Rhinolophus ferrumequinum: one gene and its partner. The protein of the gene in region 2 interacts with the protein of the main gene of each other region in a biochemical or structural test. Links are inferred from orthologs where the notes say so. Each region holds a gene or a part of one and is shown on either strand. Other genes may lie near its edges.

The links. The genes of interacting proteins can lie anywhere in the genome.
Region 1: the proteins of CD2BP2 (region 2) and PRPF6 form a complex in vitro, tested with the Homo sapiens proteins (2 studies listed by BioGRID and IntAct). The link is inferred for Rhinolophus ferrumequinum from reciprocal best matches to the Homo sapiens genes CD2BP2 and PRPF6.

Annotation. Positions count from the first base shown.
Region 1 is NC_046306.1:203,003-210,806, forward strand, and holds the start of PRPF6 (pre-mRNA-processing factor 6), read right to left. Parts: upstream 3,018-7,804; 5' UTR 2,827-3,017; coding exon 2,756-2,826; intron 1,181-2,755; coding exon 1,012-1,180; intron 157-1,011; coding exon 38-156; intron 1-37. Other genes in the region: SAMD10 (sterile alpha motif domain-containing protein 10), read left to right, coding at 4,247-4,745, 6,517-6,698, 6,776-6,947, 7,390-7,530, 7,705-7,727. UniProt on the Homo sapiens protein: Involved in pre-mRNA splicing as component of the U4/U6-U5 tri-snRNP complex, one of the building blocks of the spliceosome.
Region 2 is NW_022680357.1:763,971-771,241, reverse strand, and holds the start of CD2BP2 (CD2 antigen cytoplasmic tail-binding protein 2), read right to left. Parts: upstream 3,001-7,271; 5' UTR 2,843-3,000; intron 2,683-2,842; exon of another isoform or gene 2,659-2,682; intron 2,374-2,658; 5' UTR 2,343-2,373; coding exon 2,265-2,342; intron 2,026-2,264; coding exon 1,890-2,025; intron 1,773-1,889; coding exon 1,615-1,772; intron 1,513-1,614; coding exon 1,080-1,512; intron 999-1,079; coding exon 892-998; intron 818-891; coding exon 707-817; 3' UTR 1-706. Other genes in the region: TBC1D10B (TBC1 domain family member 10B), read right to left, coding at 5,463-6,098, 6,181-6,335, 6,580-6,769, 6,953-7,018, 7,143-7,257. UniProt on the Homo sapiens protein: Involved in pre-mRNA splicing as component of the U5 snRNP complex that is involved in spliceosome assembly.

The sequences.
Region 1 (7,804 bases), on a different chromosome or scaffold from region 2:
TCGGACAGAGATAGTGAAGGGCAGTAACTAGTTTTACCTTCTTTCTTTTCTTCTTTCATCCATCCTTTTGTCCAGAGCTGCATAAATAGCATCTGCTTCCTCGTCGTCTTTTTCGTAGGGCCCACTTGAGAAGAGGCTCCCAGCATAGCCGTTAAACTAAGAACCAAACAACATATTTGGAGGATCAGCTTCTCTTCCAACTTAATCCCCACCAGGAGAAACAGAGAACACTACCAGTTGCAAAATGCTTGCTAAACAATATTTTTCAATCAGATAAACCCAAACCGAGGAGTAACAAAATAACTGACCAGTACTCTTCAAAAGTGTCAGGAGGAACTATCCCGACTGGAGGAGCCCAAGGAAACACAACTACATGCACAATGGAAGCCGGTGGTAGGCCTGGGGCCTGACGGAGGCTACAGATGGAAAAACCAGTGGGGTTCAAACAATACACTAGACTAATTAAGAGTGCTGTGTTAATTTCCTGTTTCAGTAATTGTATTAAGGCCATGTAAGATGGGGAGAAACTTGTGAAGGGTATGCAGAAATTCTCCATGTTATTTTTGCAAATTCCCTGTAAATTTAAAATTATTTCAGAAGTAAAGTATTCAAATCTTTTCCTCTGAGAAAAATGCCATCTGTTAGAACATATCTGAAGAAAACTTCAATTGACCAAACACCAATTAACTAAGAGAGTAAGCACTAAAGCAAAGGAAAGCAAACATTATCACCAATTCCATTTAAATTTTCATTGGCCAGGATAAAATGCCAATGCAGTGGTTCTCAGTAAACGTCTTCTGAAGAGAAAACAAAAGTGTACGTTTCTTTGTACTCTTCCTACTCCCCTCTCACACTCTGCTAGGGAGACACCCTGAAGGTGTCTCAGGGAGACATTTCCTGAGCTGAAACAGGAAATGGGCCAGCCAGGCCAAGCCACTCATCACAGATGCCACCGTGTTAAGAAGCTGGCCGGCCTTCTGCAGGCTGGCCGGGGAGCCCAGCACAGGTCACCTCGTCATAGTTGGTGTCGTTCAGATCCTCGTCGTCGTCGTCTGCAGCCTGGCTTTTCTTCATCTGGTCCCCTACGGTCCTCTTGCCTGGAGGTGCATGGCGGTCATCCACGGGATCATTGGCATCCCGGGCGGGCCCAATGTCTGACCGGGTGGTGAAGCCAGTGGCGCTGCAAGAGACCCCAAGATACTCCTTGATCTGGGTGACCCTGTTCCTGTGTTCTTCCCTCCACTGCTGTCACTTAACACCTCTGGGAAATCTCCAAAGGTCCTGGTGGAGTGAGATACGCGTGGCCATGCTCTCAAACACTCCCAGTCTGCTCTCTTCAAACAGGAAACCTCCTGCCCCCCCCAAGGGATCACTAAGGCCATCTTGTCCCCATATTCTCCTTGAGACTTGTCAGGGCATCAGCCCTCCCCCAAAGTCCCAGTTTCCCATTTCCAACAGCTTCCCCATCCAAGCAGGCCCTCACACCCAACCTGACCCAGTCAGAGCTCCTCTTCTGTGCCTGCCCTGCAGCTGCTTGGGGCTGTCTCCACAGACGACGGCAGTGCTGCCCAGGGCACCTAGGCAGACACCTGGCTTGCCTCCCTCTCCCTCCCACCTGCCACGGAGCTGTACTGTCTTCCTCCAAATCCCTGGTCCCAGGCCTCGGAACCAAGCTGGCCTCCCTGTACCGAGTCTCCCTCTGCTGGAGCGCAGGCCTGAGGGACCACCTCTGCAATGCCCACAGGAGCTCTGCTCCCTGCACATCCCAGCCCCATGGACTCCCTGCTATCCCCTCATCTCCCTCCATGCCTCATCTTTTTTCCTAACTGCGCGACACACAAAACATCGGTTTCTCCTATAACCTGCTACATGTCTACATCCCTAAATGCATCTTGCCTTCTAAACTTAGCTTAAATGCTAGCACTGCATCGAGCATTCCCTGATCACTGGAACCCCAATCCTAAATCTGTTCCTCTTTATGTACTTACTTATGCATATACCTCACCTCGCCTAGCAGAGTGCAGGTCCCCTGAAGATGGTGCCACTATCTGACACTTCTGTGTCCTCCACAGATTCTAACATACGGTACCATCCTCGACAAGAGAAACCCAGTAGTCTTCCTAATCAGATGACTAACCAAACAGGATGAAAATGACTGCTCATTTACTCAACAATTTACGGTCGCAGTCTGTGTGACAGGCAGGGAGGACTCTGTCACAAGCCTCAAAGATGCCATCCCTGCTCCCGGGAGCTGAGAGTTTGAACAAACAGTATGTGACCAACGACTCTACAGGGAAAGAATGTGGCGCGATGAGCGGCCACAGAGGAATCGCGCCGGGGTTCCCGGGAACTGCGTAAGGCGGGGCTGGGGGTGGGTGCGCGTCTGCCGGGCCCGCGGAGAGGAGCCGCCGCGTTCCCACGGTAGACACGTCAGGAACTGAGCTGCTGCTCACGGCAGATCTGCGAAACGGTGTTGTCACCCATCTTAGACACCAAAAGGGGCTCAGAGCCAAGGCGTAGCTAAACGCAGTCACCCCGCTCCTAGGTAACTGGCGGGACTCGCTCGGGTCTGTCCTAACCCCAAGAACGATTCTTCCTACAAAGCTTAAAGCAAGCAACCCGCCTTTGTCCCTTCTCGTCTCCCCGTCGCCGTGGGGGGTTAGGACAGACCGGCCCTGTGCCCCTTCCCCAAGGGCGCGCCCGCCGGGACCCGGGCCCCGGGGCCCAGGGCCGCGCCGCGCGCCCCGGGGCTCACCCTCGGCCCAGCCCCGGCACGTAGCCGAGCGGCGCGGGCATGCCCAGGAACGGCTTCTTCTTCTTGTTCATGGCGCAGGTGACGACAAGGGCCGGGAAGGGAAAGGACGGAGACCGCGGCGGGAGGCAAAACACCACAGACGTCCGAGGTTTCACTGCAGGAAGAGGTCGCGCGCCCCGCGTCACCCGCGCCCCGGAAGCAGAGCGCCAGGTCGGCACGAAGCTCCGGCCGCCTCGGATTCCACGGGCGGAAGTTCCGGAAACGCGGCTGGGCGACTTCCGGCCGCGGCTGAGGGACGGAGATGCGGCAGGTGCGTGAGCGAGAGCGCCCCCTTGTGGCGAGGAGGGCCGGCGGACAGCCCCGCCGGAGGTCCAGGGGCGACGCCTTTCTGGACAAACCTCCAGGGACCTGGAAACTGAGCCTGGGCACCCTTGCTTACTGCGTGTTCTCGATGCATTCCAAGGAGACCTGCCTGTACCAGTAGGACCCGTGGGTCCCCTCCCTCTCTGAGCCAGCCCAGCTGCCAGGGAGCCCTAGGATTGAGCCCTAGCTACCCACCCTGCCCTTCAGAGTCGCCCTGGCCCCGGGGCAGGCCATAACACATCTGAGGGGTGCTGCACAGCTATCCAGTTGTGTAGAGCTTGTGCGGAGTGTATGTGTCACGACTGTGAGCACACCTGTTTGTGTGTGCTCCTGTGTACAGACTGCTTGCTGCCTTGGCTCTCAGGACTCGGATTCCTGAGCTCCAATTCCAGCACAGGTCCCCACTCACAGTCCCATAATACCCTGAAGGTTCAAGTGAGGGCAAGAGCCCACCTGTTGAGCTAATTAATGGAAATAAATAAATGCGGCGGGTATATGTCGGGAGAGTCAGTATATGGGCGTGGGCGATCACAGAATTTGGGTGAATTCCATGCCAATCTCTACTTGTGGGTGTCATGGGCATGCCTGACTGTACTCTGCATACATTTCTGGGTGGCCACGTGCACCTTAGCACACTCCGCTATGGGACATCCTCTGGCCCCCACACATACCTGGGAGAGCACTCAGGCTCCTGGCAGAGCAGGCAAAACTCAGGTCCCAAGTCTGGCCTTGTGCTGGCCCAGACAGCCCCAGCCCACCCTAGCTCTTCTCACTGGCGTCCTGCAGCAAACACATCCCTCCTGCCTGCTGCAGCCTCCTTGGGGTTGCTCCTCCCTGTCCCCAGCCAAGCCCCTTTCAGAGCCACATCTTGGGCACTGAATCCGATTCTGGGGCTACAGAAGGAAAGGGAGAGACGCTGGCTGTCCTCCTAGAGTTCAGTGTGATGAGATAAGAGAGAGTCAAACTGACTTCTCTGGGGAAGCAAGTGCCCATTTGAGGGAGAGACCTCTGGAGAGGTCTGGAGAATGTGAATTAAAGGAGAAAACTAAGGTAGAAAAATGGAGGGAAGTGGTTTGAAGGGATGGGTCTAATCCTTGACCTGGGCCCCAGGGGGCAGAAGGTCCCAGGATGGGTAGGAGGCCCTCCACCACACACACACACACACACACACACACACACGCGGAATGTGTCCTTACTTCCCTGCTTCAGAGGGCCCTGCAGACGCCTGGACCCCTAAAGGTGCCCAGTCACTCGTCCTTGGAGCCATGCCCAGGTGCGCAGGGACGCCCCTTGCCCTGGCAGACACTCTGCATACGCAGACCCGCGCGCCGCCGACACACCTCGGAGCTCCCGGAGCGCGCCCAGCTCTCAGGGCTCAGCGGCAGGTGCCTCGCCGCGCAGACTCGCCGGGCGCGGGGACCGGCTCCGGCGCGGGGCCGGCTGGGGCGGGGCGGTGGCGCGCGTTCCCCGCCGGCCACTCGGGCCGCCCTGCGCCCGGCGAGGGGCGTGTGCACGGGCCCGGGCCCCGCGGGCCCCATGTTCACGGAGCTGAGGACCAAGCTGAGCCCCCCGCGAGGCCGCGCCGGGGCTGTGCGCGCCGGCTTCGGGGAGCGCCGGGATGTGGACGGTGAGCCGGGCTGAATCCGGGCGCAGGGATATCGTGGGCTGGGGGCTTGGGAACCGAGAGGGACGGGGGCGGGACCTGGCGGACTTGAGCGGCGGCAGTGGACAGAGAGGGGGGCGCGTCCTGACGGATCTGGGGTCTCTTGTGTCTTTGTGCTGCGCTGGGGGCGAGGTGGGGCGGCCTTAGGCCTTGGGGATCAGCGCACCCTTGGCTTGGGGGAGGTCACCGGCCGGGGCTTCTGTCCCCAGGCCCGCACTACCGTGCGGTCACCTTTTTTTTCCGCGCGCGGAGAAAACCCTCCCAGCCTTTGCGTTGGAGCGAAGAAGGGGCTGGGGCCACAGCCGGGATCGTGCGCCCCCACCCCATTTTCTACGGGAATTATGACGTTGGGGCTGGGAGGGAGGGAGGGAAGGACGGATGTACCCACAGAGATCCCTCCCCCCAGCGCGGGCAGGAAATGGGCGGGTCCCGTTGACCCGGGACAGGTGAGACGCCCACGGAGGTGTCCGACTGGTTTACCCAGGCCGGGCCCTGGCGAGGCGAGGCAAGGCGATGCGACCCAGGGCCTGTCCCCTGAAAGGTCTCGGCTTTAATTCTTTTCCCACGGTACTAGAAGCCACCTCGAGGCATCGTCCACACTCTCAGTCTGACCCTAGACCTCAAATTTACAGGCACCTGTGGTTATTTGGTAGTGGAAAGTTGCAGGAATGGGGTGGAAGGAGGGGAGCAAGATGTGGGTTTCCCCCATTACTGAGACCTAGGCACAGGGCCAAATCCTGCCCGAGGGGTGGGGGGCTGTGTCCGTGGGAAGGAAGGTCTCCCTGCTGAGTGAGGACCTGGATGCTGTAAAGATGCACATCACACAGAACCTTCGTCCATCCGTTCATTCATCACAACACTTCTGGGCACCTCCTTTGCACCAGGACCTGTGCAAGGTCTTGGGAGGGGCAGTGAACAGGCGACTGCTCCTCCCCCACTCAGGTCAGCAGCCAGCCCAGAAATGATGATAAAACCAAAGTGTTGACGAGTGTAATGAAGTTGGTACGGGAAGAGAGCTCCAGGTGTCACTAGGGGTCCCTGAGCACATGGCTGCAGCCTATGGGCCTGTGCTGAGCGGCCCATGGCGGCTGCAGACCCACCATGCACAGCAGTCACCCTGGGTTGGCGACCCTGTGGGAGGTGGGGGAGCAGGAATCCCAGGTCCTGGCTTGCCCAGAGTTTAGGCTTCTTGTCCATGAGTCACAACCAGTGAGCACAGCTGGGCAGGGCCAAACCTCACGTGGCAGGGATGTCTGCAGAGATGGCACAATCCGTGGCGATGGGCCCGCAGTGCACCCAGGGGGTCTCCTCACCATACCTCCCAGGACACCGGTCCTCACGGGCCTCCCAGGACACCGGTCCAATGTTTCCTCGTAGGAAGGGCCTGTGTGTGCACCCTCGTTAGGTGTGGCATGTGCCAGCCCAAGGCAAGCATGAGGTGAGGGCTGTCCCAGAAGAGCCCTACCCCTGGCTGTAAGTCTTAGGCTTCCCGGTGGGCGTCCGCTCTCTCTAAGAATCCATTTGGCTCCCCAGAACATGTACTGTGGACTTGGAGGGTACAGGTGTTCCAGTTCTTCAGCTTTGGGCTGGGTGGGGCCCTCAAGACAGCTCTCGATGCTTCCTTCTGCCTTTGGGAAAGTGGCTCCTTCTTCAGTGGAGGGGAGATGGGCTGAGTGACGAGGGGAGCCTCTGGCTGGGCCCCTGACCACTCTGACCAGGCACCCCTCCTCTGCAGCCACTGCCCACTTCAGCTTCTGCCGGACCCTCCTGGAGCACACGGTGTCCACCGAGAGCATCCCCTGCCACCTGCCTAGGACACCAGGCACCAGCCTCACATGGCATGACTCACGCAGTCAGAGGGCAGCAGGTGGCCGGCCAGTCAAGCTCCTGCAGCAGCCTGGCACAGAGACCCCCCAGGTACCCAGCCACCGTACCCATCTCAGCCCCGGCCATCCCCACCACCTCATTCTATCTGCTACCCCTCTCCCTCACAGGGCTGGCTGTACTCTGACCACTGTGGCCTGTACCACACGAGTCCCTCACTGGGTGGCCTGACGAGGCCTGTGGTCCTGTGGAGTCAGCAGGACGTCTGCAAGTGGCTCAAGAAGCACTGTCCCCACAACTACCTCGTCTACGTGGAGGCCTTCTCCCAGCACGCCATCACCGGTGCTGTGGGGCTGGGGGCTATGGGGCTGGGGGCACGGGGATCCCAGGCGAGCCTGTCCTTTCTCCTCTTCCTACCCTCTCCTGTTTCCTCCTGAGTCAGCCTCTCCTCCGGTCTTTGTCTCTGCGGAACCTGCCACTGTGTTTCCCAGCCTCTCTGTGTCTTCATCTGGCTTTCCTCTGCCTCTCCCTGCCTTTCTCTCCGCATCTGTGTGTCTGTCTCCCTGCCCATTTCCTCTCTTTCTTCCTCCCCTTCCCCCCATCCCCCTCCCGCCCCCCCACCCCGTCTTTCTGCATCTATGTGTCTCCGTGTCCCTCCCCACATTTCCTCAGTCTCCCTCTCTGTTTCTGAGTCCCGGCCCCCTCCTCCCCCCCCCCCCCCCCGCCTTGGCTCCGATTGCCCACCGGAAGTTGACTTCGGCCCCGCCCCTCTCCCTGCCCCCAGGCCGGGCGCTGTTGCGGCTGAACGCAGAGAAGCTGCAGCGCATGGGGCTGGCGCAGGAGGCGCAGCGGCAGGAGGTACTGCAGCAGGTGCTGCGCCTGCAGGTGCGCGAAGAGGGGCGGAGCCTGCAGCTGCTCAGCCAAGGTCAGTGGGAGGAGCCAGGAGTGCCGTAGAGGCCGGGGAGGGGGGCGGGGCTGGAGGCCTGAGTGTAGGGTGGGTGGCGGGACTCTGGTGTGGGACCCCAGTAAGGGCCATCCTGAGCCCATGGCAGAGGGGACGATGCCAGAGACCCCCACTCCTCACCCCATCCACCCATAGCTTCCTTCGGAAACATGTCCTAGCTGCTGCCTGAGGCCTGAACCCCAGACCCCAGCACTGTGACCGGAGCCCATGGCAAGGACGAGGCAGAGCTGGCCAT
Region 2 (7,271 bases):
CTAGTACCAAAAAACGTCTGGGAAGCGAGCCTACTGGCCTCTGACTCACTGTGTGCCCCTCCAATGACATGCTGCCCTACTCTGTGCCTAGTCGATGGGTGGCAGGATCAGGTGACCTTGTGCTAACACTGAGCCTGCATGTCACTTAAGGAGCCTGAGACAGTGGGAGCCAGTGAGTACTAGGCTTCCTGCTCACGCCCAACTGCTGTCCCAGCCCTTCGAGGCCTAAAACGCCCCTTCTGGAGTTCCGTTCTGTAGTGGCTGCCAGGACATGCTAACTGAGATCCTAAAAGCCAAAGACCTCAGAACAGCAACAGGAACCCCCAGAGGGTACCGGAGAATAGTATGTGCGTGAAGGGATTTTTAGGTGGTAAGCAGAGGCCAGGTGGGGAGGCCACAGGACACCTGACATCCTGGCTCTGCCTCTAGGATTGGTCAACGGTGAGATGGTTCAAGGGACCAGAAACTCCCACAGAAGAACTTCATGAGGAAACAGTCAAGGGCTGAAACAAGTCCAAAGGGGCTGTAGGGGATCCCTGGCTTCCGGCCATCAGCACAGCCGAGGCCTTAATACACAACTACAGGCTTTTATTGGGAAAGAAAACTGACTGAAAAGAGGCCCCCGATATCCTCATTGCCTGAGGCAGCTGGGGCCTCCTCCAGAGTCCATGAAAGAAGGGGCCCCCAAACTGGGCCCTCGGCAGGCTCAGGTATACAGATCAAAGTCAATACGCTTGGAGTTGTAGAACTGTCCACCAGGGGGGTCCAGCTTCCGGCAATACACACCATCCGGGAAGTAACCTTCGTTCACCCAGGTCTGCGGGGAGAGAGGGCAGAGCTGGTGGAGGACTGATGGGTGCGAGGGCAGAAAGGAGGCGAAAAGGGGTTTACCTGCATCTGGGTGCTGGTGAAGGGCCCGTACAGCTCAGCATCCCCCGTGTTCTCCCACTTATACTCCCACATCACGTCCTCCAGCCCGTCTCCGAGCGACTCTGCTTCTACAATCACAGGCAAAGCCGTGTGGGCCTCCAGCGCCATGCCCCTGCCCACAAGACCCCGCCTCTGCCCTTCAAGCTCACCTCTCTGGGCAGGGGACAGGGTCACCAGCTCCTCCTCTGCCACTTCTTCAGCAAACATGTCCAGAGAAGGTGGGGAGATGGAGTCAGGGGGTCCTTGGGTCTGGCACCCCAACCCCTTCAGACGCATGGCCAGCCGTTCCCTTGTCTCCTGATAGACACCAAGGTTGCCCCGAGCCACCATCTGGTCAGCCAACCCCGAGAGCCTGTCCAAGCGCTGGGGGGAAGAGGGCCGTCCGGGCCCCTTACTGCCCCCTTTGGCTCCTCCTCTGGCCCCCAGACGCCTCAGGGCCCCAGCCACTGTCTCTCTGGGCAGCAGCAGCTCCAGGAGGCCCTCCAGGAGTGCCTGGGCGCTCATGGGTGTCTGGCCCAAGTTATCCTCCTCGTCGGAGTCCGATGGTGGATGCTGGTCAGGTGGCCGCTCCTTGATCTTCACCTGTACCGTGAGAGAGAACACGGAGATTATTTCTGACAAACTGCCCGCAGAGCCCAAGCACCTGCCGCCTCCGGCCCGGCCCCGCCAGCCCCCGAGCCATACCCAGTCAATGTTGTCCAGCCAGCTGTCTCGGATCTGAGCTTCTCGGTTCAAGAAGTAGTTGCCGTCCGCATCAAAATGGCCTTCTTCCATCTCTTCCTGGAGATTGAAAGGTGTGATCCGCACACCTCCCTCACTGGGGAGTGTGGCCGCTTCCTGACCTGCACCCAACACAGGCATTTCACACTAAGCATGCGACGGTGACAGAAGGAGCCCTGGCCCACGTCCCAGAAGCCGGTTCGTTCCCGCAGCAGAATCAATGCTTCCGTAGACCTCACCTTCCACGTCCTCCGAGGCCAGGATGTCATATTTGCTGGACCCCTCCTCCTCGTCGTCCTCCTCATCGCTGTCCAAAGAGTGTTTGCCTTTGAAGCGGCTCCCAGGCCCTCCTGCCCCGGCCACAGGGTCCACGAGCTGTGAGCAGGAGCCAGCCGGTCGAGAGAGGCAGGTTACCTACCGGCTTAGTCCTCAAAATGCTCTAGGATCTGGACTCAAACTGACAATCTCCCAAACCCATTTCTCAGAGAAGACGGCGAAGCTAGTCCTTTCCTTTCTGCCCTTTTTGTATCCCACGCTTTTTCCCTCTTCGGGCTCCTCGTTTCTTTTCTCTCCCCCTCACTCCTCCCTACGACGCAGGAGTCTGGCCCCCTCACCTTCTTCTTGGGTACACTGATGTCATCCTCCTCATCCTCATTTCCCACGCCTTGAAAGGTCACCTTCCTCTTTGGCATGGCTGGACCGAGGGACCTGCCTCGAGCTGAGCTGAGAGAAAGGACGCAGAGTAAGGGAACCGGGCGAGGAGGAGGTTCGCCGCGAGAGGGCCCCAGCGCAGCAAACGTTTGTTTCCCCTGGTACAGAAATAGGGGCCGAAAGGGGCGTTGACAGGCAAGAGGCCCCGGAACCTGGTCTGGCATCCGACAGACTGGCTGCAGCCGAGCCGGAGAGGCGGGAGCCCCGAGCAGTTCCCCCACGTGACCACCCCCATCCCCAGCCCTGGCATCCCGGGCGCGACGCCGCTCCCCGGCTTAACACCCGCTGCTCCCCCACCGCCAGTTCCCTCGGAGCTCGTGAGGCTCGGGCGGACCCGGGATCTGGCGTCCTGGCCGCCCCGCTTCTCCCCGCGACGAACTCCCAATTCCGCGGGGTGACCCCCGACTGTGCCGGGCTCTGTGTACAAATGAGAGGCGCCAGAGCCCCAGGGACCCCAGCAGTGCCACCGGCGCGCGCTCACCTAGGGACCCCGGGAAGGTGGGGGAAGGCAAGGAGCGAAGCTTCCGCTAGGGCTGCATCCGGGGCACCGGGCCGCCATCACCCGGAAGAGAACTGCGGAAGGCGCCAGGAGGGCCGGAAGTGGCTTCAGTCTGGCGAGAGCGGGTGGGCGGAAGTCCGAGGAGCCGGGGAAGGCACACTCCCCCCGAGGAGTGACTCGAGCTGCGTGGGACGGAACGACGAGCAGAGGGCACTGGAGAATGCCTACACCCTGATGGGACGCGAGGGGTGGCCGGAAGTGGAGGGATGGCTCAGGATGGGACGCGAGGGTGGCCGGAAGTGGAGCGGTGGCTCACAGCCCTAGAAGCGCTGGGGAGAAAGTGGAGCGAATTCTATCTAATCGGGCGCCCGGGGTGTGGCGGACGGCAAGATCCGAGCAGGGCCAGTGGGTTCCCGCTCTGATTTCCCTTCCCAGGGTTGCGCCATCTTCCCCAGGGCTGGCCAAGGCTCTGCGCCCCTCACCATCTCAGTGGAAACCTGGCCTGCCCCCTCAGCGTCCAGCTGTCTGCGTTCTCCTGGTTCAAGGTGCAGCTTTGCGCTTCTCCCTGAGGGGAAGCCCGGCTCTCCTGATGGCCCGCCTGGAGGCCCCCGACCGCCCGTGGGGCGCTTTCCGAACCCAACTCCCTTCAGGACCCAAGGGGGGCCATTTACCATCACTCCCCGCCCCCCTCCCACCATCCCCTCGTTTCTGAGGTGGGAAGAGCCCTAACCGGAGAGGTGGCAGTGGCACCTATGCCCAGTACATGGGTCAGAAGCCCCGCGTGCCCGGATGTCAAGTAGGCCTGGAAAAGTGCAGCAGCGCCTCTCAAAGCCCCTGCCTTAGGCCCCTGCCGACAGGCAGAACTGTGGTGGGGATGTGGGAGCAGTGGGTCCCAGTGCTGTGGGGACACGCCCTCTAGCTCTTGAGGACACTGGGAGTCTGAATCCCACTAGGCTAAGGCTGTGCCCAGGAAGAGCCTACTGGAACCATCGGTCCCCAGGAAACGACGAACCAGCCCTCCGGTCTCCTGCCCCCGGTGTTTCCTCCCAGATTGGACTCCCATGAAACCGCAGTTTCTTCCATGGGTGGGTCCAGAACACACACTCCAGACTGAGAGGGCATCTCCCTAAAGGGTCTGAAATACCAGCTCCCAGTGCCACTGGTACATCCTCTGGGGACACTTGTACCAGGAGCACGAAGTACACCCCTGGGCCTCATTCCGTTGAACTGCCCGGTGGAGCTACAGACCCCTAGGCCTTTACCAACCTGACCCCTGGGGTAGACGGTGCAGAAGGGGGGCAGGCCTACAAGCTGGCAGCAGACAACGAGGAGCTGGGAGCCTGGCCGTGGACACTGGCTGGAGGCAGCTGGCTGCTCCCTGGAGGCCAAGTACTGGGAGCTGTGCCAGGCAGTGGGCCAAGACTGCCCAGCTCACCCCGAGGGCTGTGGCTTTCTAGCCCCCTTCTGTCCCCCCCCTCAGCTCCCAGGAGTTGCATGAGCAGTTTGGGAAGGACATCTGGGTGCTGCAGGTGATACGTAGAGGGCTTCAGGCCACTGACAATGGAGGCAGCAGATCCCAGAAAAGCTGGAGCAGGAGCTCAACAACTGTTGATGGGTGAAGTGGACCAAAGGCCGAGGGGTACCAACGGCCACGACCAGCTGACTGCTTCAATCGATTCTGGCTCAAAAGCCGCTTCCTGTATCCCTAGTTCTTACTCTAACGCCTTCGTCAAATAACAAGGCAGGAGACAGGCCCAGGTACAACAGCAGGATCTTTTCTGGTTTCTCAAAGCGCTGCGTCGGGTGGGGGCAGAGACAGAAGAGAATGTAAACATTGGGTTCCACCCCCGGGAGCTTAAGGGAAGACCCCTTTCCCAGAGAGGGGCTGGAAGGTTGGAAGGGAACAAGGTGAAAGGTGTGGGCCCTGGTGAGACAAAGCAGGGGAAGCCTGAGAATACAGAGGAAGGAGGAGGAACAGGAAGAAGAGCCAGGACTGCGGGACATTTCCTATTCCAGTGCATGTCCCATTAAATAAATCGGGAGTACAAGAACATTGCGGAAGAACCGAAGGACGGAAGACAGAGCGGACACCCCACCCTGGGCTGACCGGGTCCTCTGTTCGTCATTACAACCCCGAGATGTCCACGTTGAACAAGGAGGGCCTTGGGCCCCGGCCAGGAAGTGGAGACAAGCAGGACTGAAGAAGGGGAAAGAGGAACTCGGCTCCGCTTCATGAATGAGGGGAGCAAGTGGAGTGTAAGAATCTGAAAACTGCTGGCTCCCATCGCCAGGAGTCACCCCTGTGGTGACAGAAGGCCAATCAGGACAGTACCTGGGAAGGGACCCCACAGGGAACCGGGGCAGGAGTGACAAAGACCCCGGCTGGGCCTAACTGGAGGTGCGGGGCCCCAGATGTGTCACGGCTGCCCCAGGGAACGGAGCTGTCCCATGCCCCATGTTCTGACTGTCCTGGCTGTAGGATCAGCAGCTGGCAAGGGGACGGGGAACAAGCCACCTTCCCCAGAAAAGGACAGTCTGCCCAGGGGCCTGCTCTTGGCTGAGGGAAAAAGGGGGGCCATGCAGTCCAGCCCCGGGGCAGAGGTCAGAAGTAAGTGTCCTGGCGGGCCTCAGATGAGGAGGCCCGGTCGCCACCATCCTGTGGGTCTGGGGGCCCGTCGGCCTTTCGACGCAGGGAAAGCTTCCTGCCTTGGCCCTTCTTCTGCTTCTCCTTCTCCTGCTTCTGCCGCTCCTTCTCCTGCTCTTTTTCCCACTTCTGCCGCTCCTTTTCCTGCTTTTCCCGCTCCTTCTCTTGTTTCTGCCGCTCCTTCTCACGCTCCTTCTCCTGTTTCTGCCGCTCCTTCTCCTGCCTCCGGGTCTCCTTGCTGGGACCCAGTGGCGTGCTGTTGCCAGTCGGAGAAGGAAGAGATGGATGCAGTCCCTCAGCGGTGATCACAGGCCCCGGGGCAGGCCCAACACTGGCCCTGCGGGCGGGAGGGGGCGGAGAGGGCACCCCCCCAGCTGCCCGGGAGCCTCGGCTCTTGAGGCCAGGGAGGCTGAGGAGGCTGGAGGAGGGGCCCAGGGGGGGCTGCTGTCGCCGGCGCTCCTCATGGATGGCCCGGGAACCGTGCAGTCGCCGGGAGGGCCGGTACTGCAGCTGCCCCCGGGTTTCCAGCCACTTCTTGAGCTGGGCGGTGTTCTCTCTCTCAATCAGTGCTTCTGTCACTGGCAGGTTCGTCACCTGGATGGAGAAGTGGGTGCCAGATGCAATGACGGTGCGGCTGGCCTGCAGCAGGCGAGGCTGAGTCACGGCCAGGGCTTACCTCATGCACCAGGAAGTCCTCCTGCATGCACTGCGGGGGCAGGCTGCGCAGCTGCTCCATGGTCTCGTACATGCCCTGGCAGGCGCGCAGCTTCTCCAGGGAGCCCAGCGTGTGCCGCAGCAGCACCAGGGCCACCCGGAAGATGATCTTGACGCCTGTGGCCGAGGAGACAGTGGGGAGATGGGGCCTGGGTCCCAGCCTTCGGTTAGGAGGCACTCCGCCCCACCCCGCCAACCTTAGGGGTGAGGGAACTAAGGCCCAGCAGGGAAATGAGCCGCCAGGGGCTTCAGGTTCCTGGCAGGGAGAACAGGCTCCGGGTTGGCCGCAGAGCCGAGACCAGGCCCACCAAGCACCTTGGGTCAGTGGGAGCCCGGCCCCCCTGGCCTGACAGGCTCGCACCTTCGCAGAAGAACATGTCCCAGACGCGCAGCACAGAGGCCCAGGGCAGCGTGCGGGCGAAGATGCACATGAACCACTCGGTCATGTAGAGCACGGGGTCGATACGCTGTCGCCGCAGGTGCCGGTGAGCCAGCGGGGACGCCCGGCGTAGCAGCGCGAAGAAAATTTCACCATCCAGCTGGATGGCCTCCTGGAGGTGGACGAGCCGTGAGGAGAGGCCCGCCGTGGCCCCCGTGGGGTCCGACCGATCGAGCAGGGGATCCTCACCTCAGTGGGAGAGCCCTGTGCAGAGGGACAGGGGCGGGGGGGGGACAAGGGCCTCCCTGTGCTTGGGGACAGTCACAGCCCCAGCGCCAAGCCGCCCCACACTCACCAGCCCTGCACTGTAGTAACCAGGGAGGTACTTGTCGCAGATCTGCACCAGGCACCAAAAGGCTTGCTGAGAAGGGCGAGAGTGGGAGGGATGATGGGGCCTGAGAATCGGGCAGAGGATGCCCCCCGCCAGCACCAGGCGTCCCCCCGGTCCCCCCCGCAACCCCCAGCCCGGGCCCCGGGGTGCTGACCTCAGCAGGCATGTGCATGAGCAGTACGGCGGCCACCGGGGCCTGGGCCTGGCAGTAGCCCTCGTCGGGCCGGTAGATGGTGTAAGCCTTCAGGATTCGGTACAGGTCCTGTTGCCTGTGAGTATGGGG